Linked DNA regions of Alligator mississippiensis. The protein of the gene in region 2 interacts with the protein of the main gene of each other region in a biochemical or structural test. Links are inferred from orthologs where the notes say so. Each region holds a gene or a part of one and is shown on either strand. Other genes may lie near its edges. The genes, in order: RAB11FIP4, RAB11A and RAB11FIP1.

The links.
Region 1: the proteins of RAB11A (region 2) and RAB11FIP4 form a complex in vitro, tested with the Homo sapiens proteins (2 studies listed by BioGRID, with this or other methods). The link is inferred for Alligator mississippiensis from reciprocal best matches to the Homo sapiens genes RAB11A and RAB11FIP4.
Region 3: the proteins of RAB11A (region 2) and RAB11FIP1 form a complex in vitro, tested with the Homo sapiens proteins (2 studies listed by BioGRID, with this or other methods). The link is inferred for Alligator mississippiensis from reciprocal best matches to the Homo sapiens genes RAB11A and RAB11FIP1.

What each region holds. Positions count from the first base shown.
Region 1 is NC_081831.1:7,596,191-7,606,699, forward strand, and holds the start of RAB11FIP4 (rab11 family-interacting protein 4), read right to left. Parts: upstream 4,450-10,509; 5' UTR 4,428-4,449; coding exon 4,290-4,427; intron 1-4,289. UniProt on the Homo sapiens protein: Acts as a regulator of endocytic traffic by participating in membrane delivery. Required for the abscission step in cytokinesis, possibly by acting as an 'address tag' delivering recycling endosome membranes to the cleavage furrow during late cytokinesis.
Region 2 is NC_081834.1:5,471,336-5,482,288, forward strand, and holds the start of RAB11A (ras-related protein Rab-11A), read right to left. Parts: upstream 4,470-10,953; 5' UTR 4,351-4,469; coding exon 4,311-4,350; intron 1-4,310. UniProt on the Homo sapiens protein: The small GTPases Rab are key regulators of intracellular membrane trafficking, from the formation of transport vesicles to their fusion with membranes.
Region 3 is NC_081830.1:18,616,705-18,627,710, reverse strand, and holds the start of RAB11FIP1 (rab11 family-interacting protein 1), read right to left. Parts: upstream 5,101-11,006; 5' UTR 5,030-5,100; coding exon 4,668-5,029; intron 4,646-4,667; exon of another isoform or gene 4,444-4,645; intron 2,059-4,443; exon of another isoform or gene 1,140-2,058; intron 161-1,139; exon of another isoform or gene 20-160; intron 1-19. UniProt on the Homo sapiens protein: A Rab11 effector protein involved in the endosomal recycling process. Also involved in controlling membrane trafficking along the phagocytic pathway and in phagocytosis. Interaction with RAB14 may function in the process of neurite formation.

The DNA.
Region 1 (10,509 bases), on a different chromosome or scaffold from region 2:
CCTCTCCAAGTGACACTGCAGTATAAATACTAAGAATCCCCTACTGAACGGATGAAGCTGTTTGCATCGGTGCAGTGTTGACATGGTGCTGTTTTATAACAGCTAAGTTGACCCAACATTTCCATGCTGTAAGACCGTTTTTATAAAACCAAACCTTAGCAGAAACGTTTCTGCACTTAAAAAACATAACGAAAACAGCTGCTTTAAAACCAATAATTGTCACTCTGTGTTGTTTGATATCTCAAGGACTGCAGAGAGTGACAAGAAAGGGAAAAACTGATCATAAGCAAAAGTAAACCTGACTTTGTTGCTTTCCAGCATCTGTACCTGCAGGAAAAAAGATGAAAAAATAGTGGCAAGTTGGAATCTGAAAATGCTTGTACTTGTGATGATTTAAGAGAGGCATTTATCTCTAATTTGTACTGCTGAAAAATCTGTCCCCCTTGCTACAGGTACCACAGGAAATCAACACAGTTGTTTGTAACACATGATTTGTATTTGATAATACTGTAGTAAGGTTTAATCCTGGCAAAACTCCCACTGGCCTCAATGGGGCCAAGACTTCCCTCAGTGGATATAACAAAGAGGTGGAAGGAGCAGAGTGATTTTCTTTTTTTTTTTTTTTTGTGCTTAGAGTGAGTCTTCAACAGTGCAGTAGAAATGCATTTCTCACAACTAGGGGCAATAAAAGGCCACAAAAGAGGTCAGCCACAAATATTTTAAAGCTCCCCTTCCATGATTTGACTTTGCAGGTAAAAATAAGGCTTATTTTGCTCAAGCAGAAGAGCTGCTGCTTTGCTGCAGCATTTTGCCTTCAGGTAGTTTTCAAAAAGCTGCGGATCTTTGCAGAAGGATAAATTCTCTCGTGTGGACCAACAACAAGCAAAAAAAACGCAAAGAGGGCAAAACTGTGTGCTGCATTAATCTCACCAGCCCTGGTGGGTAACTCAGGGTCAAATGGAAGTGATGATTGATTCTGGCTACAACCAGATGAGGATGGGAGGAGAAGGAAGATTTTTCTGAACAAGGAGAGAAAAACAAGTGAGCTAAATTTTTGCTCTCTCACACTAGTGCAGCCCTTTGGACATTGGTATCCATGATATTCACCATCAGAGTCACAACAGGGCCGAGTCCACTCTTCAGTGTTAGGTACAACATGCTTGAAGTGGAAAGGATAAGGAATCTGGTGAAGCTTCCACTGAAAAGATTCCCCATGGGTTATAGGTGGAAGCCGGGTTGGTCCCCACTGGCACATGCAGACACTGAAATGGAACGTGTCAAAGGGGGCAGGGAGCTCATCAGCAGCATCTTTTCAGTCTAATTTAATCAGACACACTGCAGCAGATTTCCACCCAGAAGTTATTGGGACCCTCTGGACATGAAGCTGCAAATCGCTGCTCTATTCTGGGAAGCAGATTCTCACAGCCTGCCTGCGTCACCCACGACACAGAATTAACACAGCTCGTTTTTAACAGCCCTTCGAACAGAATGGCAAAGTCACTGTCTGCCCGCAGAGAGGTGCTCACAGTAAGACAGATGCAGCGGTCCCACGGCAAGGCTCTGGTGGTGATCCTGCGCATCAGATGTGTTCATGTGACAGCTCCAGAGATGATGTTTCCAACTGCCTATATCACACGGCCCAGCCTCTGGGTTTTCCATGCCTCTCATGTAAGCACCAGCAACACACGTGCACGTCCACCGGTGAAGCATGGGACAGACTAAAATCCAAGTCACTATTCCCCAGCAAAGCTGGTACTCAGGGATGAGTGGGAGGACTACAACATCACTGCTTGCCATAGTTGGGGCCCCAATGCGCTCTCCAATTTTGGACGGCCCTGTGCCTCCCTTCCTCCTTCTTTCCTTCCCCACATTTTCCATATGGCTCTATCACACACTTCTGTCTCTTATCTACTTGCTCACAGGTTCCCCTATGGCCACCGTCTTTCTTCTCTAGCAATTTTTCCCTACGAACTTGCCCACGCACTCATCTTATTGTCTCCAGTTACCCACGCTCCTCATCACCCTGCACTCCCTTCTGATAAACCCTCCGTCGGTGTATTAGTGCCATTCGCAATGACTTGCTTTGGGAGTGAAGGATGCTACAATTCTTTGAGGTCTCAAGTCCACTATGTCTGATGACTGCGGCCCCATGACTGCATCTGAAAAGCACCATCTTGGCACATCAAGACAAAACGCTACAATTAGACAAGAACAGACTAGGAAAACCGCACTACTGACTATACAAGGATCCCTTAAAGTTGGAATGACTTCAAAAGGGACCACAACACCGGCTTCCCTTTCCTAACTGCCTCCTTGTGAACTCGCAGATCTCCCCAGAGTTGTTCTTTCCTGCCAACATTTACAAGAATGTGACAGGATGCAGTGTTCAGACGCAGTGTTCAGATGCAGATCAGGTTTGGGCAGTAGTTCGAGACTGAATCAAAGTTTACATCTGGCTTCAGATTTAGGTGCACAGAGATCACAGAAGCTGTTCTCATGAGTTTTTAGTCACAAGTGACAATATTTAGATCCCATCAAAATGAAAGCCCTAAAAAAGCACCACCTTTCTGGGTTTGACTCTGTTGCAAAACCAAACTGTAGAGGCAGGGAATTATAATCCTGAAACACCGAGCATCCCCAAATCAAAATGGTGTGAAATGCTATGAAATGCTGAATGGTCCATGTCTAACAGCAGCGTAAAACTTACCACTGTTTCAAAGCTCATTAAAGCTCGAGGGAAGTCTTTCCAACGATTTCAATTAGCAGAGGAGCAAACTAGCTATGTAAAAGGAAAGCTGAGACAAGTTGAATTACTTAAAGCTATACAGGTAGGGCCCCCTTTCCCATCTGTGTAAATATCTTATTCAAACATTTTCAGTTACAAGTGGAGGACCCATCTCATTGCCATCCACCTGTTCAGCTGGGCCCACATCACAGCCTAAAATTCAGTCTCTTTCTTTGCATATTATTTGTTTCTTTCTCTGCTGCTTGTTCATGATCTAGGCTCCTCCCAATATTTAAAATACACCATTCACAACTGATCATTTTCACAACTACAGACCTTGAATTCACAATTTAATCTCATTCTAAAATTCAAACAACTTAAAGTTGCATATTTGCTGATTAAGATGATCACCTGCCAAGAAGAAACAGTCTACCTAACCAAATCTAACGCCACCTGAATCCTCCTTTATCTACTCATTTATGGGCCCCAGGTCCCCTCCCAACAGCCTTATACATTTGCTTAGATATTAAAGCCAAAAGGACCTTGATAGACATTTAAGTCCCACCTCCTACAAAACACAGCCCGCAGGATTTCACCAGCCTTCCTAAATGCCACGGGAGAAGGCTACCGATTTGGGTAAAAACAGAAGAGTACAAAACCGCCCACAGGAAAATGCTTCTCACCACAAGGGCTTAGAAATTCAGATCATTTGCTTGTATAGGAATATACAACTTGGAGACAAATAAAAACACAAAAACAAAAACAAAAAATCAATACTGCTCATTATGAGCACTAACTTCCCCTGCTTATCTCGGTGGCTACTGAACAACCACCGTGGTCTCCGATAGAGAAAACATTCAACATCAGATCTATGCAAGCAAAAGAGCCTCCCGAATCCCGCTCCTCTGCTTTCATTCATCCGTGCTTTGTTACCAGGGTTGAGCCAAAAAAAGAAGAGTGATTTGGTTCGACAAGCAGAGCGAATTCACCCTCCCCGGAGCGCTCCTACGATCTCGCTTCCTTTCAAAAACTGCAGGGTCATTTGTTTCGCTGCATTTTCAAGGGGTCCGAAGTTTTCCTCCTGACACCAGCTCCAGGCCGCCTCCTTCCCCCCCTGGCGCCGGAGCTGGCTGCGGAGCAGCGGACTGGAGAGACAAGCCGACCCCCACAAAACCAAACACTTCGCCACCGCCGGTTCGTTTCAGGGAACAGCACGACCTCCGTCCCGCGTACAAGCGCCTGCTGCCGTCTGCACGGACGCCCTTCCCCTCGGACTGGCTCTCGCCACCCCGAGGGAACGGCTTTCCCATGACACCGACGCCAGGGCCCCGCCACAGCTTGTGGCACAACATTGTGCTTCCATTTGTGTTGCCCGTGGGCGCGCGCCGTATTGCTGTCCACCCGTGGGCGCGCCGTATCGCTGTCCGCCCGTGGGCACGAAACAGCCTCGCCCGGGCTCAGGGCATCTCACCTGCTCAGCGCCTGACACACCCACACCACGGTGCCCCCCAGCGCGTCCCACCTGCTCCCAGGCCCCAGGGCGGCCCCGCCCCGCCCCGCTCACCTCGTCGCCCTGGCCGAAGCGCAGCCCCAGCGCCACGAAGCGCTCCACGCGCAGCAGCCCGTCCGCATCCTCGTCGCACGCGTCGAAGACCTCCCGGAGCCGCCGCCGCAGCAGCCGAGCCGGCCCGCCCGGCTCCATCGCGGCTCAACGGCCGCAACCGCGACCCCGCAGCGCCGCCGCCGCCATCCGCCGCCGCCGCCGCCTGCCGGCCGGCCGCCTCCCGCCGCGCCGTGACGTCAGCGCGGGGCGGGCCCAGCCAGGTGTGCGGAGGCCTCTGATTGGCTGCGTGGGCTCTGATTGGCAGGTCTGTGGGGGGGGCTGTGATTGGCGGGGATGCGGGGGCTTGAACGGGTGGGTGTGTGTGTTGGAGGATTTGATTGGTAGGTGTGTGTCTGTGGGGCTTTGGCAGGTGTGTGGGGGGGCTGTATTTGACAGGGGTCTGGGGGCGGGGCTGTGATTGACAGGTGTGTGAGGGTGGGGCTGTGATTGGCAGGAGTGTGGAGGGGCGAGGCTGTGATTGACAGGTGTGTAAGGGAGGGGCTGTGATTGGCAGGGGTGTGTGGGGGCGGGGCTGTGATTGACATCTGTGTGAGGGAGGGGCTGTGATTGGCAGGGGTGTGGGGAGAGGCTGTGATTGGCAAGGGGGGATGTGGGGGTCTGTGATTGGCAGGTGTGAGGGAGGGGCTGTGATTGGCAAGGGGGGATATGGGGGTCTGTGATTGGCAAGGGGGGATATGGGAGTCTGTGATTGGCAGGGGTGTGGGGGGCAGTGCTGTGATTGGCAGGTGTATGTATGGGGGTCTGTGATTGGCAGGTGCATGCAGGTGGGGCTGTGTCTGGCAGGTGTGTGCAGGGGGGTGTGATTGGAGTGCTGTGTGCACTGGGGGTGTTTGATTGGCAGGGGTGTGTGGGGGGGGCAATTTGATTGGCAGGGACATGGGGGGAGCTGGCAAGCCTGGAACGAGGTGACCTCAGGGGCAGCAGCTAAGGGCATCTGCGGGAAAGCCCTGGGGCCGAGGGGCCAGCAGTGGGCACTGAGCCACAGGTGTCCCCGGCCCGGGGGTCTTGGCACCAGGTGTCTCCTGGCGCTGTGCCTCCTTGGCGCTAAGGGAGAGCTGGCGGAAAGGCCGTGAGCGTATTGGAGCGGCAGGGAGAGGCCCGGTGCCCTGGGAGGAGGACAGATGTCTAAGGGCCTGGCGTGGACCAAGCGCCCCCCACCCTGCCGCAGTCTGGGAGAGCCTGCCTGGCACAGCCGGGCTGGTTTACAGAGGGGGAAGCTACGCCGCCGGGTGCAGACGTGGTGCTCCCACACTGACGGGTGCAGCTGCCTTGGTGTTATTTCTGCTGACGGCCGCCCACGGGCTCAACGTTAACGATGCCCTCTCGATTTGCCCCCTCTAGTCCTGCCTTTTTTCTCCCTTGGGCCACGTTAAAAGTCCACGTCTACAAGTTTTCTGGGGCGAGAGGAAGCCGCTGACCCGCAACAGATGGACCCATGTTTGTGCCCCATGGTCTGGGCCTTGTAAATCCTGCACACAGCCTTCGGGCAGGGGTTGAGGCAGACCCTCCCTCCTCGGGGGCTCGGAGTCTGGTTCATTAGACACGCTGCCATCGTTAGCGAGCACGAGAAGCCATTATTTTCATTTTATGGCTCGCGTGACTTTACGAGCAATGTTTTGCAAGTTATTGATAAGGTAGCTCATTTAAAAATACTTTATGTTAAAGATTTCAGTTACCAGCTGAAATATCCTTTATCAGTTCCTCTGTTGAGATAACCAAGGCCCAACATTGCACCAAACAGCTCTGGAAATTTCACAAGGGAAGGAAGCCCATCCAAATCCCTCCTTCCCAGGAGATATGCACTCCCTCCCCAGCAGTTTGGTTTCTTCAAACACAGGCATCATCCTAATTTTTATGTGCAGATATAATACTGTTGGAGAAGGCAGGCTTGACAGCCTGGTAAGCTGAAGTCTCCTGTTGATCCACAAAACAGTGACAGCACAAGCCATAGTAGCAATGCAGGCTTCCCACGTACCCGCCTCCACCAAAGCTCCTTAATTTAAAAGGCTGCAGAGAGGGTGAGGAGTTGCTTTGGGAGACTGTCACCGTATCATTTCCTTAATCATACCATAAAAGTTCCATAAAACACCCTGTAAATTAATCCATGTCCTGACATTTATAAAAACTTGGAGCCACATTTTTTCTGCTGATGTTTACAAGCATGGGAGAGACCGACTGCGAGTCACTGGAGTGCAAATTTTCACCTGCGCACGTGCATTTTTACCACGCGGGCGAAGTTCCTTTGTTTTTTTAAATCACAAAACGGTAACCTGGCCAGCCAGGGGAGAGACACGTCCTTTTTGACAAAAGCAGGAATACATCTGCAGACTGGATTTAACCCCAAGTATCGGAAAAACCCGAAGACCTCCATTTCTGGTCTCTTTCCAATTGTATTTTTGCCCCAAACAGAAAATTGACTAAATGTAGCTTTGAGATCTGCGGTGTGAGATTTTGAAATGGAGGTCGAGAAGGTAGAAACAGTCAACTGGGAAACACAGGTGTGGGCAGGGGAGAGGGGAGAAGACTTGAGATGGAAGATGAGCTGAGAACAGGAAAAAGGGAAGCAATGAGTTTTATGGGCTGCTACTGGAGACTGAAAGGTTATTATTATAAAAGCAGGGTTCTGAGCTTTATGGACCAAAGGCTCATGCCTTTTACCTGGGGAGAGCTGAGCTCTCACTATGTCAGATGCTCCTATTGAAATAAAGGGACTGTGTTCTCCAACAGGAGACTAGAGGTGAATTCCCATTAACTCCTACGGAAGTTACTTATACACTGCGTCGGTAGAAATAGAGTCCTTGTTGGGGAATAACACGTGACAAAGATTGCATGAAGCCTCTCTGCCTGGTGTCCATTGCAATCTTCCATTTCTTGGTAAACAGGGACTCATTTAGAGAAAAGCCCTGGGAACTGAGCTGGGACTGGGGAGCAGGGACTGAAGTCTGCGAGCTGCCGCAGGGAAGTTGAGTGCCCAGGAGATGTGTGAGAGCACCGCTATCAGAGAGCTGGGAAGTGTATAGGAGCTGTCGCAGCAGACAGCTGCGTTCTGAGCTGAGCTCTGACGGCTGGGAGCTGATCCAACGGCACACACGGGAATTGAGACGTGAGAGGTAGGCACTGGATACCAGGAGTTAAGGGCTGAGATCTGAAAGCTGGGAGTGGCCCAGATGTTCAGCTCAGCGTCCTCGCTGTACTACACTTGCTTGCCTTGTGACCATAGTAGGAAGATGTAGCATGAAAGAATGGGCTGTGGGTGTGGGAGTTCACTTTTCTTGTCAGCAACAGGGTGTGCAGTAGGGAGGAAAGCATTTTGCCTGAGATTTTCCCAAGCTGCCCAGAGGATCCAGCCTCTCAGCTCTCATCAGAAATCAACAGGGAATTGTACACTAAGTTCCAGCATGGACTTCAGAATCATACCATAAAAGCCTGTGTTACACAGTTCCTTCAGAGCTGCACAAAGCAACCAGAAGTTAAACTACCAGTGAATTTTGAACAATGAGTGGCCCTTTAAAAATCACTGCAGGATCTCAACGCAAAACGTCACTGACTTGGAATTATATACAAAAAAAAGGCAGGATATTTAACATTTCAAGGCTGCTAATACATCTAAACCTGGTTAGAAAAGAGGCTACATGTTAATATATAGTAATATCATTATGAATTATTGTATATAATGACTTCCAAAGTGGTTAGCAATATTAACGAGATGAGCATTATAACTGCATAGCGTGGAAAGAATGTATTATTTATTCCCCTTTCAGAGAGGTCAAATAACTAACCCATCATCACAAAAGAAGCCCATGAAGTGAATTCTAGATCAGGCTTCTTAAGTCAACGGACACATTACCATTGTAGACTTCAAGGTGCTTGGAGTTAAACTGTACCAAAGTGTGGCAGAGGTGCCAGATCTGCCTCCTGGGGCTGGACATTAATGTCTCTCTGTAGAGGGACATTTTCATTGTTCCTCTGTAGAGGGTGTTAAATCTGGAGCAAGGTGCTCTATCAGAAGTGAATTGCATTTAAAACACTGAGTAAGATCATCTGGAACAAATAGCAGCCTCAACTGTTTTTCATGGTGCTTATTATATTACAGAACATTTTTGTGGCAAACACACATTTCACTCTATTTCTAAAAGAAAAGTTTGCAGACAAGCTCTCATCAGAGATTTCCACAAAACATGATATATTTGTATCTTCAGGAGAGATATTTGACAGATAATTTAAATGCAATTCTGCTTTGAAAAGTGACTTGCTAAAAATGGTATGGGGGGGGGTGTACCTCGTGCATTGTCTTGTACTGACACCACATCAGATCTGCTTGGTTCACAAATGAGAAGATACTTTTTTAATTGCCTGCCCTTCCCTGCAAACATACCATGGGATTTTAAACCAAATGTAGGCTCTTTCTGCTTCATATATTGTTACCAGTAATAAAAATACTGGAAGTGGGATTTAGTCAACCAAATCAGCTGGTTATGTATGGGGGTGTCTGCATGTGCATTTAAGCACGCCTTAATTTAATGTGTATTATCTTAATGTGCATTAAGCAGGTTTAGATAGGTGTCTACACATGCAGGCATTAAAGCACATAAATGCTATGTGTTGACTGCCTTGGGACTAAGGTTAGTGCTTTAAAGATTTGCACCTAAATTTGATACCTGCAAATGCACAAATACCCTAAATTTGCCATTTTTTATGTGCATTAAGGTGTGCACATGTAGACACACACCCTTATTGTGCATTAACTTAGGCTAATGTGCATTAAAGGGCCCTGTGTAGAAACAGCCTATGCAACAAAATAAAGTCCAGCTCAGTCCCCCATAGCTGGGTGTTCACATTTAGATATGGGCTCAGTGGCAACATTTGGATTCAGATCTGGATTTTAAACACTCCTGTTCCCTGAAGCATTTGGATCTTTACCATTTTGTTTTTAGGCCCAACTTCATCTTTTATCAATGAACAGAGGAGATACAATTTGGAAACCCACTGGGAGGTAGCCTGTTGACAACAAAGATACCATATTCTACATACGACTCTAAAGTCTTTGCTATAGTCTTGGTTTGTACCAAGTCTACTGTTATGAAGTCCTTACCCACTACTGGACTATAAATAATAGTATATATTGCCTTTCTGAAGATAACTGCTCTTCAAAGAGTTTTGTCACTGGCTCAGAGCACTGAGGATTTTAATTATGGATGCGAAGGGGGGAAAAAGACTCTGCAGATAAATCAATCTGTCTGGAATATGGCAGCTGCTGAGCTTTGATCCCCTGTAGAGTCAGTTATCTTATTATTTTTCCTGTAAATTTTTTTTTTAAATCTATAAATAGTATATTCATAAAGTTACTAGACATTTTGAAAAAAGCAATACATCATCTAAAAGCAAGAAGGTTTCTAAGGACACTGGGTCTAATGCTCAATGAGGTGTGCATTTGTCCATGCTAGGCCATGTTCTCCTAAGATAAGCTAAAAAGGCCTGGGGCTGTTAAACACTTGCATGAATGATTTGCAAGTGAAGTGCACGGAGAGCAGAAGATGGTTAGGATGACTCAGTAGGTGTCATTCATGCTGGCATACAAATGTCCCAATATAGCACTGGTGCTACAGAAGCAGGGGACTTTGGGAAACTACATGAAACATAAAACTTAGGTTCCCAATCACCTACATTCCAGCACCTAACCTTCTTCTCTCCACCCCAGCTTTAATTAAGTTTTGCCCTTCTTAAAAATACTTGTATGATGCTATGGGGTAGAGGCTGCATTTCAACAGGGATCTTCCAGTTCGTACTGTGCAGGATTTATATTTCTTCTGAGTTAAAACCCCCTACCTAAGGTATCATCTGAATCATACTATGCTGCTCACGGTCAGAAGTCCCTGGATCTTAGATGTGAAGTTGTGTGGAACTCAAGTTCCAAAGGAAGCATAATAGTAAGAGTTTCAGCACCTGAAATATCATCTCTGGTAATGCTGCCATCTCTTTCCTTCTGAATGACCAGAAGTTTCCTTGAAGGCCTTGAAGGGTGTTGATGGCACTTGCAAAGTTTCATTACAATCAGCAGTTTTCCCATCAATGTCATTTCGACTTATTTAGCAGATTTAAATCCAGTGTCAGAAACTGTGCGTAGAAACTGCATCGCCAAAGGCGGATGACCTTAGCATTT
Region 2 (10,953 bases):
CACCAGGGCTGGACAGCAATGCCATATGCAGCACTAAAAAGTTGGTGTTTGCAATTTACTTCCCCCTAACACTTCTTGCCAAGCTTGAGCTCACTACAAAGACATTAAGAATAGTCATAGGTTCTGCCCTGACTGACCAGTTAACACAGCAAGTTCCACCCCTTGAATCAGCCTGCATTTGCACACACAGCACCTGGTATCTGAGCAGCTCTGAGATAAAGGAGCAAATTGAGAAAGTGAAAAATAGTAGCAGCAAGAGAGAGGGGCTTAGACAACTAAAGTAATACATAAATCCAGTCTCAGATGTATGCATTACTTTAGTTAGCAGGAAGCCCAACATCATTAGAAGGAAAGAGTAATTTTCTTCTCAAACAGTTTGACTCCCCATTTTTGTTGGCTAGCTAATATAGCAAGTCAATTAGCATTTTGCTAACTAGTATTTTAAGAGTGTTAGCAATCATTTCCTCACCTTCCAGGTTGAAACTTCCCATTTTTAGTCACCCTGTTAGACTGCAAATGATTTTTCCTTCATGAGTTCATTTTTGCCTGCTGCACCTCTGGATTGAACCTAACTCTTGCTATTTTTACCTAATCTCTGAAAGCAATACTAGTGATCTGGTCTTTGGGAATATTTGGCTAACTGCTATTCAAAACAGCAGAGAATAACTGGGATTTGTTAAACTGTACAAAAGTCTATTTTAATAACAGACCTGTCACTACCCCAAATCTGTTTATTTTAGGAAACAGTCACTGTCTCATGAGGGGCAATTAAAGAGTTTAAAAAACTTAAACATGGTCCTTTAAATGCAAGAACACTGAACCCTACCTTGTCCCAAAACCTGTAAGAGCTAATAAATTCACATAAGTGAATTTCTATTCTCCAATAGTTGGCCATTCTTCTAGAAGGGAGCTTTTAACGGTTTTAATGATTTGTTAATGCAGTTAGCTTCAGTGAACTACTTGGCATTCAGACCATGCTTTACACCAATGGCAATTAGCTAAGGATTAGGGAGGTTTTGGGGATTAAAAAACAAAACAAAGCAAAACAAAAAACACAACTGCAAACACCACTATTTGTGCACAATGACATGTCAGAGGTACGGAATGAAAACCCAGCAGAGCCTGAACTAGAACAAGAGATGTCCAAAACATGACCATATAACTCTGCTCCTTACATTGCATGAAAACCAAACTCTTAAGAGGAAAAAAAAATGACAGACAAAAGTTAAACTACCCAACTTTTCTTCTTTCTTATAAACCTGAATTAAAAATCAAACATTTGATATTAAAATAAAAGTCATGAGCTAGCTTAAATTACATTCAGGTTCCAGTTAAATTAACTAAACTGGTACTACAAGACTGCACTGTCTACAAGTATCAATCATAAATGGTACACCTCCTTCATCTAGAACATCAAACCCATCTAACTGAAGCCCTGTACCTACACATTTTTATCCCTCTGAAACATGGGAGGAGCCCTCCAAGAGTATGCAAGAAGGAAAGATACTGGAATACAAATGCTGGAAAGATACTGCTACTAATCTATTTCTCCAAGCTTAAATCCAAAGGAGACAGTAATTAAACTACATCAGAGGGAAATACCTTAATTTGTAATGGAAAAAGAGCCTCTGATCTAGGGCTTACTAGCAGGCTAAAAAACCCAGAAGCTTTTAGGAGATGGGTTTTTCCTATAAACAGAGCAAATATGAGACAACAGTGCATTGTGTGAAATCCAGACCAGCGAGTTTGTCCAGTTTCAGAGGAGTTTTTTTGATTTAGTAATAAAGCTGGAAAAATGAGTAAGATGCAAAGAAGGAAGGAAGTACAACTCCTCTGGCCTGGCATATTTAAATCAGTTGATTGTCAGAAATGAGAAGCGAGTTTGTTGGTTCACTTGTCTCAAATTTGGAGTTTCGCAGAAGGTGTAACCAACACTGCAGCCAAACCTTCTAACGATTACATAATATCCAAAACACAAGGGAAAAAAAAAAGACACAAACAAGTTAAAGCCAGTTGAGATTGTCTAGGGTACCTCCTTGATATTTTAGATTACATCAGGTTCTATAATCCAGGTCAGAAAGCGACATTACGAAATTCAGAAGCCACCCTGAATTAGTGTATTAGTTATGCCACCATGTTTTTTTTAACCTCACTTTTCTGGGGAAAAATATTTGTGATGTGACACAGACAGACAAGGGTACATAGACCATGTCTGTTTTTTGGGATTCACGCTCCAAGTCCCTGGGACATCACTGCCTTTCCTACAGCCCACTGTGTAGTACAGCATTGTCATGGGGACAAACCGCATGTCCTAGGCATTCAACAGTCAGGGGATAGCCGTTTTGCTATAAATCCTCCGATTCAGTTGGAACTGTAGCATGTGGGGCTCATACCATAAGAACCACCATTTTCAACCCGATTTGCCTCTAATTTTATGTCCAACAGCTACCTTAAGCCAACTATCATCGGTCTTATGTAAACAGAAGATGTAAAGATGACACGTTTTCATATGTCCACTTTACACATCATTTTGTAGAAGTTGGTGATTTCCCAGTGTAAATGGGAATGCACCAAAAGCAAATCTACCTTAATGACGAGAAAAGACTTATCTATAGGCATGTTGCAACTTGGGCTGTAAGACTGACATGGGACAACTGTTGAAATCAGGCCCCCTGGCTTTGTTTCAAATGTAATTAACATCTACTAATAAAATTCAATCTGGATTAGCACCATCAAAGGCTGGGGGGGGGGTAAGGAAAGCCATTTTCCAAATGAAAATGAACCAAATGAATAATGACAATTTTCATTTGCTGGGTTTCAAGCAGGTAAAAACAAACACGCACAGCAAAGAACTCTGTACTCCCCCTTTGCCATACGGCATCTGCTCCAACTAACATCCCCTTCGCTACACAGGGGATAAAATAATATTCTAGATATAGCTGCTTGCAGTTAATAGTCTCCTGAAAATCTGCTTCTAACTCCACACTGGTCTTAAAATATTTTTCAAGCTACTGATTTTTCAATGCTAGCTGAAGCAGTAAGTAACCTCAAACTTATCTTCAACTGCATGCTTTTACAGCGTTTCTGGCGAACATTTGCAACAGATTGCTGATTTTTTTTTTACGTGATGGAAAGTGGAACTTGAAGTAGAGCATTTATATTACGCTGTGATAAAGTTCAAGCGAACTACCAAAAAAAGAAGTTGCATAGCTCCTGGGCAGCGCTGCCCTGCTCTCCTGGGAGCCGCGCGAAGCGAGACGACAGGAAGTGAGATCGGTGGGTGTGCAAGTGCAGAAAGGCAGTGCCAGGTAAGTAACACAACGTACTCTACTGCACCGAGATACATGTGTCACACCAGTACCGGACCCAAACAGGAGTTTAGCCAGGCTCAGGGACGCACCGTTTAACTGTGCAAGACCCTGTCCACCATCACCACCAATCTTTGCTCATCCTAACGTTTTCACAGCGGCCCCCGCACTTTGGGAACAGACCAGCAGCCTTGCAAAAGAAGCCATAAAATACAAGCTCGTGATAACTCTTTTGCCTTAAAAAGTGAGTCATTCCTTGTTTCTAATCATCCTGCTTGGAAGCAAGAAGCATCTGCTGCAAGGCCTGCGCAGGGGTAACTAGTCTTACCCCGCGGCCCGGCTCCACGCGGGAGGCACCCTCGCGCCTGGACGGACAGGGCTCTTGGGTCTAATAGACGACATCACATCTACCCAACTAAGCAGCTGCAAAAGTTGTTCTTCGCAAGTTTTCGGGCACAAACGCCCTTCTTCAGGCAGAGGGGGACTCTACCCTTGGTCCTACAGGTCTGAGGGTTGTCTGTCCAGGCCCAGCCCCTTCCCTCCCCTCCCCCCTTCTCTGTCCCCACCTAGTCTAATTTCTCTCCTCGCACTCTGCTTTTTACCCACCCTTTTGCAGCAGCTGGTGAAATAAGCTGCAGCTCACAACAGCTTGCGAATATATATGTGTAATAAAAAAAGTGGGCTGGGTGTGTGTGTACACACGTATATAGGTCCAAAAAGGGGGGGGGGTAGACAGGCAGCCCGCCCAGGGAGTGCAGGAGGAGGCCGGGGAGACTTACCCTGGGGGTGCGTGTGTCTACCCCTGTGTGTGCAGGTAGGTAGGTAGGTGGGTGGGTGGGTGGGTAGGTAGGTAGAGGGACCCCACCCCATCCCGCCGCCGCCAGCGCAGGGCCCAGCCCAGGCCCTGGGAGCCGCCTTTGCCGGCGCCGCCCCGCGCCCGGTGCGGGGAGCCGGGCCCGCAGGCCGGGCGGGAGGGGACATGCCCCCCGGCGCGGCCCTTACCTTTGAAGAGATAGTCGTACTCGTCGTCGCGGGTGCCCATGGTGCCGAGGGGGAGCGGAGCCAAGCCGAGCTGAGCCGAGCCGAGCCGCCGCCGCCGGGGACTGAGGAGCCGGACGCGGGGCCCCGCCCTGGCGCTGCGGCACTTCCGCTCTGAGCCCCCCCACACCCGCCTCCTCCTCCACAGGCGCTTCTGGGGTCACCGGGCCGGCGAGGGGGCGTGGCTGCCGGTACTGCTTCCGGGGCGCCTGCCCCCGCCCCCCCAGGCTGCCCGTGCAGGGTGGGGGGCGGGGCAGACGCTACTACGCGTGTGCAGGGAGCCGGCGCGGGAAGCTCTAGAGGCGGGCGGGGCGCGCCTGCGTCAGGCGGTTCCATGGTGTAATGGTTAGCACTCTGGACTCTGAATCCAGCGATCCGAGTTCAAATCTCGGTGGAACCTGATCTTTTTCCCTCGATTCCCCCCCCACCCCCCCCCCCAGCCGGTCCGACGGGGCCGCTGCGCGCCCTCACCTCGGCGGGGCAGCGCGGGGCGGGGGAGGGAAACCCCAGTGCACGGCACTGCACTACACTGCATTGCCCCGCGCGCGGCACTCAACCTTTCACTTCACTCCCAGACACGTGCAGCTTACTGCTGATACCCACGCGCCCCCCCCCCGCTGTGGCAGGCAGACCCCGCCCCCGGGCCCCCACGCACCCCCGTCGGTGGTAGCGACATCCCCTGGACCCCCACACCCCCCCCCCCCCCCCGGCAGTGGCAGCCGGACCCCCCACACCCCCTGTCGGTGGCAGCCACACACCCCCCCGTCGGTGGTAGCGACATCCCCCTGGACCCCCACACCCCCCCATCGGTGGCAGCCAGACCCCCCCCCAGACCCCCCACACCCCCCTGTCAGTGGTAGCAACATCCCCCTGGACCCCCACACCCCCCCATCAGTGGCAGCCAGACCCCCCCCCCCAGACCCCCCACACCCCCCGTCGGTGGCAGCCAGACCCCCCCCAGACCCCACACACCCCCTGTCGGTGGCAGCCAGACCCCCCTCCCAGACCCCCACACCCCACCGGCAGTGGCAGCCGGACCCCCACACCCGCCGTCGGTGGCAGCCAGACCCCCCCGGACCCCCACACCCCCCCGTGGGTGGCAGCGACACCCCCTGGACTCGGCGCCGTGTGAACAAGAGCTGCTGCGTTTTCAGCTGAGCGCGTGCTCCTCCGCGCAGCGCCCGGCTCCGGTCTGGTCCGGTAAGGGGCGTCAACGGTCAGTCCCCACGGACTGTCCCTTCGCCACCAAGCGCCTTGTCGGCCCGCTCGGTGCCACGGATCCTCCTCCTCGCCCTCCTCCGCACCTTCTCCAGGTCTGGGCCTAGAGCTGAGCGCAGCAGCCAGGGCGTGGACGCACCGTGGGTTTAGGAAGGGGCAGCATGATGTGCTTGGCAGAGGGGCCGCGCGTGTGGAGAAAGGGAAGGTCACGGAGCAGGAGGGAGCAGACGACACCAGCATCAGGCTGGGCTAAAGTAAGCCCAGAAGAAGAATGGAGGTAGGGCAGAGGACAGTCTATCGTGGTCCCTTTTCCTTATTATTTAGGATAAGTGTAGCCCGGAGGAGCTGGGCCCGTACAGGCGGGACACCCGCTATTCCAGCTCGGCCCCTCCGGAGACGTGTGAAGCAGAGACGGGATGGGACGGGGCAGCCGGCTGCAGCCCAGCAAGGAGCGCAGCGCTCTGGGGTAACGCTGGGGGCTCCTCTGGGCGCGCGGGGCTGAGGCTGAAGAGCAGTGGCCGTGGCTGGCGGCCCAGCAGCTGTCCAGGCTGGGAGTGGTGGGTATGGAAGTTGCCCAGGGAATCGCTGCCTTGAGTGGCGTCAAATTTTTCTGTAGTCAAAACAGAGTGCAAACGAAGAGCTGGTGTTGTCCCGGGGATGCCTGGAGTCTGCCTCGTGTCTGAAAAGGCTGGGAACCACTGGCCTAAAGTGTTACCCTCTCACGAGTGGGACGGCTGAGGCCTCAGGGAGGTGGTGTGAGCACGCGGGGAGAGCGAGCGGCCCCGTGTCGGGCTGAGCTGCAGGGCAGCCGTGCAAGCGAGCTCTGCGAGGATGGGAGACTCCCTCCTGCAAGACAGAGCAGCAGGGTGCGGTAGGGGAGATTAGACCCTTTTGCTACCGACAGATAAGGCTACACAAAAGGCAAACCATGTAGGGCATGAGCTCTGCCTAAAGCAAACACGCCTGCCTGGATATGGTCCCACGTGTGCTTGTTCTGTAGGGCAGTGTGTCTCAACCCATGGGTCGCCACCCAAACGTGAGTCGCAAGAATATGTGAAAAAGTTAAAAATGGGTTCTCTTTTAAAGGAGAAAAAGGTGGGAAACCGTGGCTTTTCCCTTGCAGGCTGGCAAAGTGCCAGCCTCCAATGGGGTGCTTGTCATAATGTTCATTTTGTCATGCATGTGATTGTAAGGATTGTGGTCTTCAGTATAGAATATATAGATCATGTTTTTATAATATATATTTTATATATATTTTATATTTAAGAGCATAAAAGACGTGCTTTTAAAATAGATGTAGTTGAGCAAACGATGAGTTTATTTATGGTCAGCTCTGGTGCTGGACCTAGGGATTAAGGACTGCACCATTGTGATGAACCCCTGGACTTGCCGTGGGGTGACCAAGAGTTTGTGGGGCTCTCTTTGTAACTTGGTCGTTACGAAGACTCGTCTCTTAACTTGGAACTTCAGAAACTTAATTTCACGCTTTAAAAGACTGTCATTGCTATGGAAAGCTAGATGAGCTCTCCTACTCAAGAGAAGTTTTTCCTGTGTGGGTTTCTTTATTAATGGCGTTCTTATTTACCAGTTGATCTCAAAAGTACCTTGTATGTACATTTTCCACGTGCTGTAATGCATCCCTTCACTGCACCAAAACGTCGGCGTTCCTGTGGGGGGAGGCCTGGTAACACAGTCCACTTGCATGGGACGGGTGGTGCAAGCCAAGGAGAGGGTGCAGCAGTGCGGCACTGGGCGACCCAGGGGTGGGTTATCTGGGCTCCAGTGTGTTAGCAATGAGGTACACTCACAGCCCCGGGGCATGTATGCTCCGAGCTGCAATCACAGAGGCTTCTGCAGGTCAGGGATTGGGAGCATGTGGGGGGGATGACTCAGTACCCTTCCCTATGTTGCTGTACCCAGTTAGTGCCACGAGCTTCAGTCTTGTGCAAGTGCTACAGGGGAAAACCCCCAGCTGCACCCAGGTTCACATTCCTTGCTGAGACAGAAACATGCTTCTCTGCAATGAGCAGCTGAGAGACACCCCACATGTCTGGAGCGCAGACAAGGGTTGGGGTTCAGATAGGTCTCAAGTGTCTGATGCGGGAGAGAAGCAGGGGGCATAGTCATAGCTATGTTTACAGCCATTTCTGGAAACTCAGCCGCTAGCTGCTGAAACAGGCAACTGCAGCAGCACTATTCATGTGTACATGCATGAGCTATGTGTACAGGCATGACCCTATCATGCAAATGAGACGTATTAGGAGCATAAATAACATGGAAGGGGCATTTGATGCTGGACTTGGTGCCCGCATTTTTTACTATATGCCCTAAAAGAGGGCCCAAAGCCCAGGCTTTCAGGTAGGTTCCTAGCTCCATTAAACCAAACGGGAGCTTTGCCATTGACCTAAGCAGGGCCCCGATTTGATCGTCAGGCTCCCGGGGGTGTGCAGAGTGACTCGAGGTGGGAGCTGAAGGAACTGGAATGGACGTCGGCAACTCAGTACTGCTGTTGTTGGCTGCAGGTTTTCTGGCTCTACATTTCCAATCCATGCAAAACGCATCAGAGAGCAGTTCAGAGAATGATCTGGAGCAGCAAGTGACAATAATTCACCATTGTCCTTGCCTGGCTGCTGACCCAAATTCCTGTTTCTCAGATCAGAGACCACAGGCTTCCTCTATTAACAAGCAGGAAAGACAAAAGCAGAGCAAAGGCAACCTACCCTGCTCTTCCAGAGGAGAAATATTTCCTAGGGGGGAAATCCAATCAATACTTTCCAATTTTCTAACAAGCAATGAATCATTGCAATTATGCAGAGATAATTCACTGAGCTTTCCAATCAAGGCTGTAAATTATAAAAGAGAAGGAGTCACTTTCGGCATCACCAGCCCCAGCCCAACATTAGTCACTCTGGAGAGAGTATAAAACCCGACAGTTTAAATAACAGACTTCCCTTTTTAAGCAGACCTTACTGAATTTAAAGGACTGCAATGTACTTGAAGTCCTTCCCTTCATGGTGTTTCCTGGTTGAAGTGGGCATTATAAAAAAAGCACAGAGCAGGGAGAGATTTTTCTACTGAAAGTCTATCTGAATTGCTATAAACTCTCTTCCCGTCCTGCTTCTACTGTTCATATAACAAGAGATGGATCTGATCCAGGACATTAGATCAGCCTACTTCTACCCAAGTTGTGGGGTTTTGACAACATGGGACTCGAATCTGATATTATCCTACGACCATTTTCCCCTTACCAAATATATCTACTGTATTTTCTGACCAACAAGATACATTTTCCCGTGAAATGGAGACCTATAATGAAGGTGTCTTATACCTTAAAGCTATGCAATGAAAATTAATTAAAATTATTGTATTAAAGGTTGATAGATTCAAGCTGATGTAAGTAAAAACAAAATGTTTCTGCAATACTCTCTGCAACAATCCCTTTGAGGAATGTATCTTATACACCAAAAAATGTAGTATACATCCCAGCTGGAGAAAGCTTGGAGGGAGTGGTCCAGAAAGTGTTGGCTCTCTAGATTAATTGTTTCCCTGAATCCGGGGTGTTGAACTCATCAGGCCCTGCAGGCTGGAGGAATGGTGCGAGGCTGATAGGGCCTGCAGTCCAGCCCTGCGTGCTAGATCCAGTGCACATCCAGTGCAGCACTCATCCTGGACTGAGGTGCCATGTGCGGAGCACATCCTGGCCCAGGCCTGCACAGGCAGTGAATGCAGCGTGCGACCTGGCCTGGCCTGGCCTGGCCTGGCCTGGAAGCGGGGGCGCCTCATGCAGAGTGCATCCCAGACCAGTGTGGTGTGGGCTGCTTGTGCAGAGCACATCCCAAACCAGCTCCACGCACCATGTGCAGCACATGGGCCGACCCAGCGCACATCGTATGCAACGTGTGGGTCAACTCTGAGTTCTACAGGCAACACTAGAGGCCAGATGATAGGGCTCTGCAGGCTGGATCCTGACCACAGGCCGTATCTTTGACACCCTCTACTCTTGATCATCATCTTTCTGGTAAATGAGAACCAGGAGATGTTGTCACCACTCTGCAGGAATCAGCTGCCCAAATGACTTGACACTTGAGGAAATGAAGTCACTGTTTTCCTGCCTCTACTGTAGTCTTGCAAGTGCACTTGTGTGGCCTGAGTCTGCTCCACGCTTGTAAGATAACACTGGCCAGTGGTCACCCCTGCTTCTTTACTGCCCTCTCACATCCCCCTCCTCTGATCTCAGTTTGGAGCTAAAGGCAATCCACAGGGCAGCAGCTGAACAAGCATCCCCACCCTGCTCACCCCGCGGGATACCTGCGTTTTGATCCAAAGGGACCAGTTCCAGGGCACGGAGAAGACAGTATAGGCTCTTGGCTAACCAAAGCTCTGCTTTTGCTGCTGAAACAAGATTGGTGGTTGTTGCCCTGTGTGTTATTTCTTGTGAAGAAGCACCTGTCTGCTGAAACTATCAACCTCAGCTCACTTAGAGCACTGTACAGCTGTCAAAGTGTGCATGTGTCTGTCGCTGCTGAACTAGGCTGGCTGTGTTTTACTAGAGGTCGGGGAGACTTGTACTTCATAAACTAACCAAAGTAGGTAGGTAGATAGATAGATAGATAGATAGATAGATAGATAGATAGATAGATAGATAGATAGATAGATAGATAGATAGATAGATAGATAGATAGCAGGCACAAACTTTCATATATGACTGTGTTTTACTGAACAGCCCTCTATCCTGACTCGAATGAATGGGCCATCCAGTCCTCCGTAATGCTGCTGCTTTTTTTTGCCACTGAAATGTTAGTAATGGTTTTTTAATACAGTATATTGATATTGATTGGAAACCACAACTCAACTTACTCCGTGAAGACCTTAATTTTCTTGTGTGTCCTCTACAAACATACATGGGGTTTATTATTCCAAAAGAATAGAAAATGCTCTGGAAGACCTTGTACAGGCAACCGTCAATCCTCTGGATTGTGGTATATGTGTAAGAGGTCTCGTCAGGCGCCCGATGAATCCTCTTGTGGCTGACAAGCCCAATTCGAGAGTGACACAGCTTGTTACAAATTTCACAGATCCATATGTTGTCTGAGTCGGAGTCCAAGTCGACAGCACACTGCTTCCTTCTGTCTTGCTTTGCTTCCATCCTCTGGATCAAAGCTGCTTCATGTTGGACTGCACCCAGCGCCAGATGTTCCCTCCAGATTGGATAGGATTCTGCACATTCCTTCCAGCTTTCTACATTGATGTTGAAAGACTTCATATCATTTTTGCGCACATCGTGGCACTGCCGTAGAGGCCAACCCCACTTTCTAGGGCCGTCTTGAATCTCACTGTACAAGATATTCTTGGGGATACAGTCTCCTCCCGTTCCCCTGACATGGCCAAG
Region 3 (11,006 bases), on a different chromosome or scaffold from region 2:
TTCAAACATACAAACACACCTCTGCCTGGTTTTGTCCTCCTAGTGTGGGCACATACTGGCAAAGAGCAGTAATAATGAGTCCAGGTGGCTTGTTCAACAGCCAGTTCAAAGAGCTGACAAGACAGCAGGTTTCCCCTCTGCAATATGTGCAAGAAGGCCCCTATAAAGAAACGCATTGAAGAGAAATAGAACATTAAAACACCAAGTTATTTAAAATCCTGATGCCTACAAATTCAGAACCGCTTAGGAAGAGATGTAGAGTTGGAGGAGGCTACAAAACCCAGTGACAATATTTATGTATGATAACAGTGTCAGACAGGGAAGCCCGGGTTATCAGAAGGAGCTTGAGTGCACATACCAGTCTGCATGCCAGCCTGAAGAAGGCTGTTTGTGCCCAAAAGCTTGCAATGAAAGACATTTTTTTTGCAAAAATCTTGTTGGTCTAATAAAAGCTATCACCTCTATTACAAGCCCCAATTGCTTTTTCCTCTAGACCAATACAGCTACAACCTGGATACCATACTAGTCTACAGGCATTTTAACAACCAAATCCTAAAAAAACAGCTCTAGTGGAAATACAACCACATCCTACAGGAATATGACATCCAGATAGCAGAACAAGTCTTCAATACTATTCCCCCAAGACTGCATTTTTATGAACTGCAATTGCATTCAGATCACAGACAGCTCTTAATCAGGGATACTAGGAACCAGGAAAGGGACAAGCTTGGCCTGGGTACCTGTCACAGTCCACTTAATAAAAGGGTCTTGTGCAAATATTTTCCTCCGTCTATGAAAAACAACTAAGCATTCAAGGAATGTAACTGGTATTGACTTAGCTACTGCCATAGTTTCTCAGAAGAATTATTCTGCTTCAATCTAATTACTTTCAGCATTCAAGTGCAATATTTCAAACTAACCTGTACTTACCTCCCCCACAGGAATTACTCAACTGACTATGCACATGTCAGCACTCAGTAACAAAATTACATATGCTCTGGATTCAATTACAAGGAAGCAAACTAATGAAAATAATGGTTATTTTAATAAATATAGCCATTTCTTCCAAATAAGAAAGCCAGCAACCTGATGACAAGGAAGCTTTCAGCTTGACAAAGAAGAATTAGTTCACTGCTTACCTCCAACGCAAGTTATATTCCCTATAAAGGTTATTTAACACAATGTTTGCAAGCGCATTATAGGCGATTTAGGCAGTTCAATGGCAGTCACATTACTTGACTAGGCAGTTAAAGAGAAGGGTGGCTCCTGTTTCACTGAATAATGCAGGACATGCAGAACCAGTACTTTAAGGTGACTGAAGAAATGAATTTTCTGCCTTCATCTGAGGGTGGAAAGAAGAAGAGTATGTCCGCTTTCCCCTCAGGTTCAAAGAGACACAAGCAGAACTGGAATTGAGGCAACATTCCTCAGACTACACTCCTCTCTTCCCTTATCTTCTTGAAGTACTTCATCACATGCAACCTGCAATTTGAAACTCTCGACAGCTGATCAAGTTACCAATACAGCAGTTATCAAGTATACTATTGCATTGTGCATCCATGTAAATAAGCCAAATAGATATTTAAAATCTCTAACAGCCTTCTAAGGCTTTTGAAAACCTTGGTTTGTCTTAAAACTTGTTCACACCACTTACAGTTTGTGGTGTGAAACTGTGGCCTCCCAATATACACCTCACCCTGACTGAACAAAGACAGCCTTCTGTCCAGAACCAAGAGCCACCTCTCCCAGGAAGGAGGCCAAGCAGTTCTATAGTGGTCCTAGAGCTTCTTGATTTCTCTCCTTGACAAACCACAGAGTCTGACAGCAAGCACAGATGGCTTGTTCACAGACAGCAACTCAAATGTTACAAGGCTTTGCCCCCTTCCGATTTGCTCAAGGAGCCTGCATGCCACTTCTGCTTGAGTCAGCAACTAGGTTTTAAAATCCAAGTTAACAAAATTATTGGGGGAGAGAGGAAGGGGGTAAGGAGGGAATAAAACATTCCACACAATTCTGGATAAAAATCTAAAGCAATAGTGATATTCTACTTAAAAACACACTTGCTTGAATTATGCTTATGATAATGGACTGCTTTGACTTTATACAATCAGGCATCAATTCACAAGTTATGAACAAGCTCTCATGTTCATAAGACCCCTTCAAGCACATTCCAGGGCTTTCTACTTAGAAAGAACTCTGCCGTGTAATTTTCTGTATTTCTCTTCCATTTTAAGACTACTTCTCAGAGTACTTCAATACGAGACCTTATTAATATTTCACTTATACCTGTTCACTGGCTATAAGATCAATTCTTTGTGCCCATCTATCTCCATAGCAACTCATTCTGATGACAGCAGGGACAGGCTTCGGTTTTGCTGTTCCCTGTGCAACCTGTTCCACTTTTCGAGATTTATACAGAGATTTAAACAGCAGGGGTATCAAACGTATGGCCTGTGGATCTAGCTTCCAAGCAGTCCCATGGTCAGGATCTAGCCTGGGGCATCAGGTGAGTTTGACATACCTGATATATGGGTATTCAATACAGCTGGACAGTTATTGCAATTAAAAACACTCTTTTTTAAAGAACTTCTTGCTTCAGCTTGCCCACTCCACACCTGTCACACTCCTGCTCTAAATTCCTGCATGTTTTACTACCAATTAGACCATTTAATCCATGGAAACTCAAATCAGGATGAACTGCTACCTTCCAGGCCATGATTACACTTGAATACGCATGCGTAGCTTAATATACAGCTGTCATCTTCAAAACATTTTGCAATCATTAAGCTAGCTGATCCTCCCTTCTTGTAAATTACAGACTGCAGTTTCCTCACTTCCCCTTCTGGAGGGATTTTTCTCAAGTGGTGCAATGTAACAAAGAGGATCCGGAAAATGGAGCCTCTGCCCCAAAAGAACAGCCATGTAATGCTGTCAGCTTATAGGGAAAGCAGCTGTGCAAGAATACCAACACATGGGATTATATTTTACATTTAGGGGTAGCTCTTGGCTTAATCAAATCTGCAGAGTCTTTTTTTTACTGGCCACATATTCACACACCCAGTTTGACAGGCAGGACCAACAGTTAGGAGATAAATTCCTATTTGTAGAGTGAGCAAGTCTCATGAGAGCCAATGGCTGCTGAGCAGAGGGATCCCAGAAACTATTTTTCTGGGATTTTTCTTCTTCAGCACTCCTATCTTTACTTTCTCCCAGCTCCCCAATGCTCCAAGCCACTCTACTTCCAAATCTAAGCTTTCATTTAAATATTTCTAGTCTTTGAGAAGAAGAGACCAGAAACATTAATCAACTACATGAACTCACAGCAATGTCTTCCCAAAACCCAATGTGCAGTAGATTAAGATAGCAAAGCTGGTCCTATTCATTCAGCTCACTTCATTTCTGAAGACGAGATGGCACTTAACATAAAAAAACAGCAGCATGAATATTACACACTGAGATATCCTAGACAATGTACTCTAAAGTGCAGAGCCTCAGGACCAGGGGTGAAGTGGCAAGGAGAAGAAACATTATGGGCTTATTCTCTGTGATTCTGTCTGTAGTTTAAATGAGGGTTGGGAGGGCTGGAAGGGACCTAGTCCAACCCCCTACTCAAAGCAGGACCAGCCCCATCTACATCATCCCAGTCAAGGCTTTGCCTAGCCAGGTCTTAAAAACCTCGAAGCATGGAAACTTCACAACCTCTCTGGGTAACCTGTTCCAGTGTTTTACTACCCTCCAGGTGAGAAAATTCCTCCTAACATCCAACCTAAACTTCCCTCGCTGCAACTTGAGACTGTTGCTCCTTGTTCTGTCGTCTGCCACCACCGAGAACAGCCCAGCTCCAACCCATCTCAGTCGGTACCTGTACTCCAGGAACAGCAGCCCTGAAACTAACTCGGGACAATTTCAAGGCCTCTAGCCCAAGTCCTTTGAGAGCTGTTTCCCCTCCATTGCTTCAGTCACAAATTACGCACTTAAATAGAGTCACTGTCGACAGTGGAGCTGAAAGACTTTAGGCAAAGCAGCTTGTATCATGAATCAACACGCAGAGAAGCAATGTTATTACATTAGCAACCCGTAAAACACTTTGTCAAGCGTCAGGGGTACAGGTTGTAGTACGCTGCCAAGCATCACGCAGCCGTGGGCACTTCTCTGACAAGTGGCCTTCTCTGTGCTCCTCCAGACCCTCTCAATAAAGCCGTCCCCGCGCCCTCCCTACCCTGCCCTCCAGTCTGTGGTACGTGAAGGGCTGCACGGCAAGGCTGAACCCCACACTGCCATGGAGCACGAGCAAGAAGAAGTGAAGTGTCACAGGCAACGAGGGTGGAAGGGACCTCAGGAGGTCACAACTAGCCCACCCCCCTGCCCCTCTCCACACCAAGCAAGCCCAGTCCCCTCAGCCTCCCCTCCATCGTGCGCCCCAGCACCCGCCGCCCCACGCACCTCTGGCCTCGCGGCCTCCGGGGGGGCTAGAGACAGAGCCAGGAGGAGGAGGAGGAGGAGGAAGGACAGGGAAGCAGAAGCAGCTCGTTACCCATCGGCACGGCAAGGAGAGAGCCCGAAAGAGCGGCGGGCTGCGGCCTGGCAGAGAGAAGAGAGAGACAAGGGAGGAGGCGTCACCGGGGCGGGGACCCCTCGCACCCCGGCCCCCCACGCCCCGCACTGACCGCGTGTGGCGGCGGCCGCCGTCGTGCAGCAGCGGCTCGAGGGGCACGTCGGCGCGGCCCAGGAACTTGTCGAGGCCGACGAGGGCGCGGTGCAGCACGGTGAGCTGCAGGACCGGGCCGGGCGCGCCCCCGCCGCCGCGCCGCGCCGCCAGCTCGAACGTGGCCTCCTCGCGCCACACGGGCCGGCCCAGGCAGCGCTCGGCCACCGACGTGGCGAACTTGTCCTTGCCCAGCGCCATCAGCGCGTACGCGTCGCTGCCGCCGCCGCCCTTCGCCTTGGGCCGCAGCCCCTGCGCCTGCAGCACCGTCACCTGCACGTGCGTGGGCGCCCAGCGCGGGGACCCCGGCCCCGGCAGCGACATGGCGGCACTGAGCCCCCGCCGCCGCCGCTCCTGCTACCCCGGCAGCCGCTGCTTAGCGCCGCTCTCGCGAGAGGCGGGACCGCCCGTGACGTCAGAATGGGCGGTGCCGAGCCGCGGGGTAAGAATTCTGGGCGGGGCCGAGCCACTAAGGTCAGGGAGTGGGCGTGGTCACGGTAGGAAGCCGGGGCGTGGGCGGGGTCTATCTAGGGTGGGCGGGGCCAAGCCCCTGGAGTAAGGGGGTGTGTTGTGCCTCTTTCCCGCAGGCTTCGTGCCCGTGCCCCTCCCTCGGCTCCCAGGCGAGGAGTCCCACAGGGCGGGTGCGTCTACACCAGAAGCGTCGCAGCGCACCAACTGCGCAGTCAGCGGCAACTCTGGGCACACCACCTTTCCTTAGCTCTTTATTAAGGAAGTCTTAAACTCAGTGTGTCTCAGTGTCTCAGGCACGTTAATGAACGTGTAGACGCGCCCAGCCAGGGTCGTTGTGCTTGGTAGATCGTGTATTTGGCAGTCCCGGTTCTGTCCGTCCAGAATAAAGCTTGTAAGAAAGAGGCCTGTTCACTTCCAGAAGCACCGAAGGCGGCAGGTGACTGCACGAACCAGGGCGCTCTTGCGCCCAGCGCGCAGAACTGGACACAAGCCCGATCCCTGCGGGGACAGTGCCCCGGCTAGGAGCGCCAAGGCCCGTGCAAGGCTCCTCAGGGGAGCAGCTTTTCTAAATGAAGCACGTTTGTTTAACTGGGAGCTTTGCAGCCGGCATCGGTCTCGCGCAGCTTTCGAGGCTCCGGTCTCGTTGACCGACTGCGCCTAGGAAAGAGCTGCAGCACCGATGTGGATGAGGATGGGGCTGGACTGCTGGCAGAACAAGGAGCAAGGGTCTCAAGTTGCAGCGAGGGAGTTTAAGGTTGGATGTTAGGAAGAATTTTCTCATGAAGCACTGGAACAGGTTACCCAGAGAGGTGGTGGACTCTCCGTCCTTAGAGGTTTTGAAGACACGGCTAGACAAAGCCCTGACTGGGATGATCTAGTTGGGGCTGGTCCTGCTTTGAGCAGGAGGTTGGACTAGATGTGACCTCCTAAAGTCCCTTCCACCCTCATTTTCTGTGACTCTACGTGGGTGTGTAGGACCCGTGGCTTTGAGCTTTTTCCCCTCCATCTGCACTTCCCTCCCTGGCCCCTCTGCTTCTCAGTCAGATCCGAAGAAAGCTTGTTGCCAGCAGACAGCAGACGGACCGGAAGGTGGAGAATGCAGTTTTGCTGTCTGGGAGTTTCGGTGTGACATGCCAATGTAATGCTTGGAGGGTGGGGTTCTGCTTTATTTGAGGAACAGAGGAGTCACTCATTTACACATGAGTTAGTAAACAATGATCTCACCTATTGCCCTTCCTTATATCAGCTACCAACTAAGGTCCCCATGCATGATCTGCGCGTGCTCGCAAGACACATTGCGCTCCAGCACTTAGATGTGTCCTCACTTGGGGTAACTAACACAATGCTAAAAAAAAAGGCCTGTCCCTCCCCTCAGACTCTCTGTGCCCCTGGTTTCAACTGACTGGGAGCCAAGTGCTAGATAATAAAAGAAATCACCTGCAAAAGCTCTTCACATGAACATTAGCAAAGGCTCAGAAAATTCTCTGGTGTCAAAGAGGCTTTCACTGTTTAGTTTTAGGTGTATTGGTTGTAGCCGTGTTGGTCTAAAGGCATAGGCAAACAAAGTTATTTGGGTAAATGTGATATCTTTTCAGTTTTTGCTCTTTTGATCATATGATGTCACTATGTCACGGGGCTGCATTTTACGTTGGAGGCCTAGTAAGACAGAGGCCTGAATGTCTGTTCATAAAACAGCTGTCTGATGGAAAAAGAAATTACAGAGCTTCTCTGCATATCTCATGCATACACCCACACTAATGCACCAGACACCTCCAAATTGTTTTCTTCAGCATGTTGGTTTTAATGATTCATGTTACAGCTCCCGGGCGAGTCAACCTTTCCTAATCCTAGAACTCCAATCCCTTAATGTCTGTATGTACCTTGCTATCCAAGTCACCAGGCCTTTTTTTCCCCTGAGGATCTATGGCCAGTTAAAGGAGGATGCTAGAAGCCAATTCAAAATCCGGTAGACCCAAGACCCATGAGTCAAGTGTCTGAGCTTTCCTTTTGACCCCTGACATACAGACAGTGCTGAACTGCATTCATAAATCCAGCATGGGAAGAGATTAGCTCCACCTTTATAGCAGAGACTGAGCATGAAAGATGCTGACTGTTTTAGGAGTTTAAATGGAAACTTTGCTAGCTTAGTAACATTGGACATCACTAGGCTCTCACTGTTTAGAGCAGATCTGCTGGACAGGCAAGGCAGAGCAATGGCAGTATGCATCCGCATTCGCGTGCACACACACAAGGTATGTGGCAGTGAAATCTCTAAGCCAGGCCACGTGAAAAACAGCCGAGGTATGTGACAAATTAGTTCACTGCACACCTTTGATCACCTCACCTGCCCTAAACACCTCACTAAACTCCTCATTCTACCATTCCAATCCTGTGAGCAACATCTTTTTGTTGTTGCTGTTTCATTAGCCGGGAGAGAAAGGTTGCCTTCTTCTCTCCCCCAGCATAGGATTCGACGCCATAATTATACATGCCTAAAGTCCCAGTGGAGAAGAATCACTCCTAGCCCCATGACAGGTGTTTTAGTCAGAAACCTGTCATAGCTTTGAAGTCCACAGTCTCGTGGCCGTGTGTGCCTCTAAGTGGATGGATGACGTGTCTCAGCAAAAAGTGGCAAGTCCCAGTTGCCGATCGGACCAAGCACTGGAAAGGGCCTGAGATGAAATCCTGTAACGCTGTGATGGTTTGAGCCTTGAAAAGCTGGTTCGTACCCCATATAGTTGGAATGTAGCTTTCCTCAAGCCCCACACAGTCAGAGTTGTGCTAAGGAGCCCAGCTTTAGAGGGGAAGCTACACCCAGGATGTGAATGTGCCAAAGCAAGGTGAGATGGATTTTGCTGTAGGGGAACTCACACCTGGATTGGGCTCAGACAGGTGCTTAGACTCTCCGGCCACCTGTGCACTGAAAATATGCCCCCTCCCCACTGCTGTAGAGGGCCAGGCCCAGCTCATAAAGTGCATGTACGTTGTTCACAGCTTGTCACAAATACCTGTAATACACTGCGCCGTGCTTGAGGGCTTCTTACATAGATAGCACTGACCTACTGCAATCAGACACCATTGTCTGCACACCTTGGAAATGCACTTATGTGGCTCAGCAGAAGCAGGGAGGACATCACAGGCCTCTATCCTCAGAATGACCTCATCCCTTGTCTTCACGGCTAAAAAAGGCATTTTCACTGCACAGAAGGTAATGCATGATAAGTCCCTGCAAGGTGAACTCACCATGACGGCAAGGCACTTCAGTTTTACGGTGCACTCGGCACTCTTCTCCCACAGCTATACCTTGTCTGGTTTAACTCATAGTATCTGTTAAGCACCATGTTTTCACCATGACCACTAAGTCGCACCCAAGGATGGCTGCTTTTCTAGTATGGGGTAGGTACCATACAGTACCCACGGAAGTAATGTATAGTAAAGCTCCCACTTGCTGCTGGAGTGGGAAGATCTTGGCTTTGTGCCCACTTTATGGAAATGGGAGACTCCTTCCAGGCTTACCCCTGGGGCCTTATGGCTGAGGGCAAGCGAAACACGGGGGCATCTGAACCCCAAGTCTCCGAGCTTGGGCCTGCACCTAGGATGCCTGCCAAAGGATTTAGAAACATCTGAAGCCCTAGGTGAGGTGGAGGATGTTTGCCAGCAGTAGGGCAAACTTGACTGACTCACAGATTTGGAATTGATTTGGACCAGAACACAAAAAAATTATTTAAAAAAAATATATGTTTTCACTGTGTTTTTACCTTGGGTGGCTCTCACTTGTTGGTTTCCCTGTGGTCCAATACATTTATCTTTCGTAGTGTGGAGACAAGGCTTCTAATCATTCGGAGCAGAGTCTGGTCTCTGCTGACTCACTGCTCTGCATACCAGTCCCCCTCTCGCTTCCCGTTCTTCCATTTTTAAAGTGGGACTGATGATCTATCTTGCCTATGTTAAGTCACTCTGCTTTTGGGGAACAAAACATGGGACTTAGCCCTGGATGCTCCACGGGCAGATATTGAGAGCCCTGAAGCCAGAGACCAGCTCGTTTCAGGGGCAGGGCAACTTCACAGTTAGTAAATGCCAGCCCTGATCAGGACACTACCTGTTGCTGAACTGCTGGTCGTCTTTCAGATTTGGGATGAAAGTCCCTTTTAGGGCGTCCTATGACACAGCCGTTGAATGTGAACCTATTCCAGAAAACCCTCTCAGTCCCTCAGCCAGCACTGCCACTTCCCCCTTTCTAGCTCTCCCATCCCAAGTGAATTCCTGGCAGCTTATTTATTGGATTAGTTTAGACAGCAACAACCTATTTCAAATTGCAAACCAAATAATTAGTCATGCATGTATTTCACCTCCCCAAGTCAGCCACTTAAGATCTTTTATCTTTTAATAGCTCTGTTTATCTTGTCTTTTGAGAAGGGTGAACGTGCAGTGTCATGAGATCAAAACAAAACAAAAAAGAGACTTTTAGGTATCATTACCATGCACGCAGCCCTGTGTTACTCAGCATTTTGGTCATGCTTAAGTTTTTCCAATTTCAGGCTGAGTTCAAGTGTGGGAGATGTCAGCACTAGGCAGCATGAGTCTAGCAATGCAAACTACAAAATTAAAATGCTATACGCACAGGGATTAACGAAGGCTTCTTGGTAACACGCTCGGATTATCACATCAGCACCTGCATACCTTGGTTACTAGGCCAGCGTTCAGACTTCTTTATGCACTTTTTATCTTAACTATCTGGGTGGCGGTGATTGTCCCTGCTACCATGTCTATCGGGGAAGGACCTTGACCTGGCTAAAGGGGCACTCAGTACCTGTTGCTTGTGTAATTCCATGTTTCCTTGTCCTTCGGCAGTTCACCTAAATAAGCAGCATCTTTTACATTTGGGGCTAAACAGCAGTACTGCCTTCTGCTGCTCATATACAGTCCACGTTAACCTCTGTTAGTAAATTGTGAACCTATTAAAATGTGTTATACAGTATTTGTGCCAGCTGCTGGCACGATGTTAATAACCAATAACAAGACTTGTTGCATTTTGTCCTTTCCCCTTGTTTCGGAGCTGTCTCAGTCCACTTTGTCCTTGCACTCCAGCAAAGTGTTTCAGCAATTCTGAAATGAGATTATTAGTGCAAACCACTGGCAGCTGAACATTTTTCCTTTTGACAGGGCTGATCTCAAAGCAGGCTGGAGCCTCTTGCTTGGTGACTGTAATCGGGTTAGGTTTGCAGAGACACAGTGTACTTATAAGATCCCACTGGAAGATGGTGAAATTATGCTGACTTACAGGAAAGCAGATACTGGAAGAATGTGGGAGATCCTGGTTGAAAAATGCAAGCAGAGGATGTGATGAACGAGGATTCAAGCCCTGGACAGATCATACAGTAATGTGCTATGGGATCTATGGACCCTGGACAGGTCACACAGTAACGTGCTATGGGATCTATGGACCCTGGACAGATCACACAGTAACGTGCTATGGGATCTATGGATGTACGAAGGGTTTCTACCAAAAGAGCCAGGGGCTTTGACCTAGACATAAAACAAGTTGACGGAGGCTACCACGGGATGAGTGCTAGGCAGGCAAGTGTTAAAAATAAGGCAACCTGATGAAGGAATGAGAGATTTCTCAATAGGTTGCAGTAAAAGATAAGACCTTCCTTAGCACACCAGCCCCTACTCAGCAGGAATTTTCCATTGGGTTCAGAGAGTGCTGGGCCAGTTGAGGGAGCAGGCTAGCGAGAGAAGAGAACAAAAGTCTCAAGAGATGGCCCTGGGAGGATTGTGTGGCCCCAGAGACAGGGAGGCATTGTGGATGCTTAAAGTGAGCAGTTTT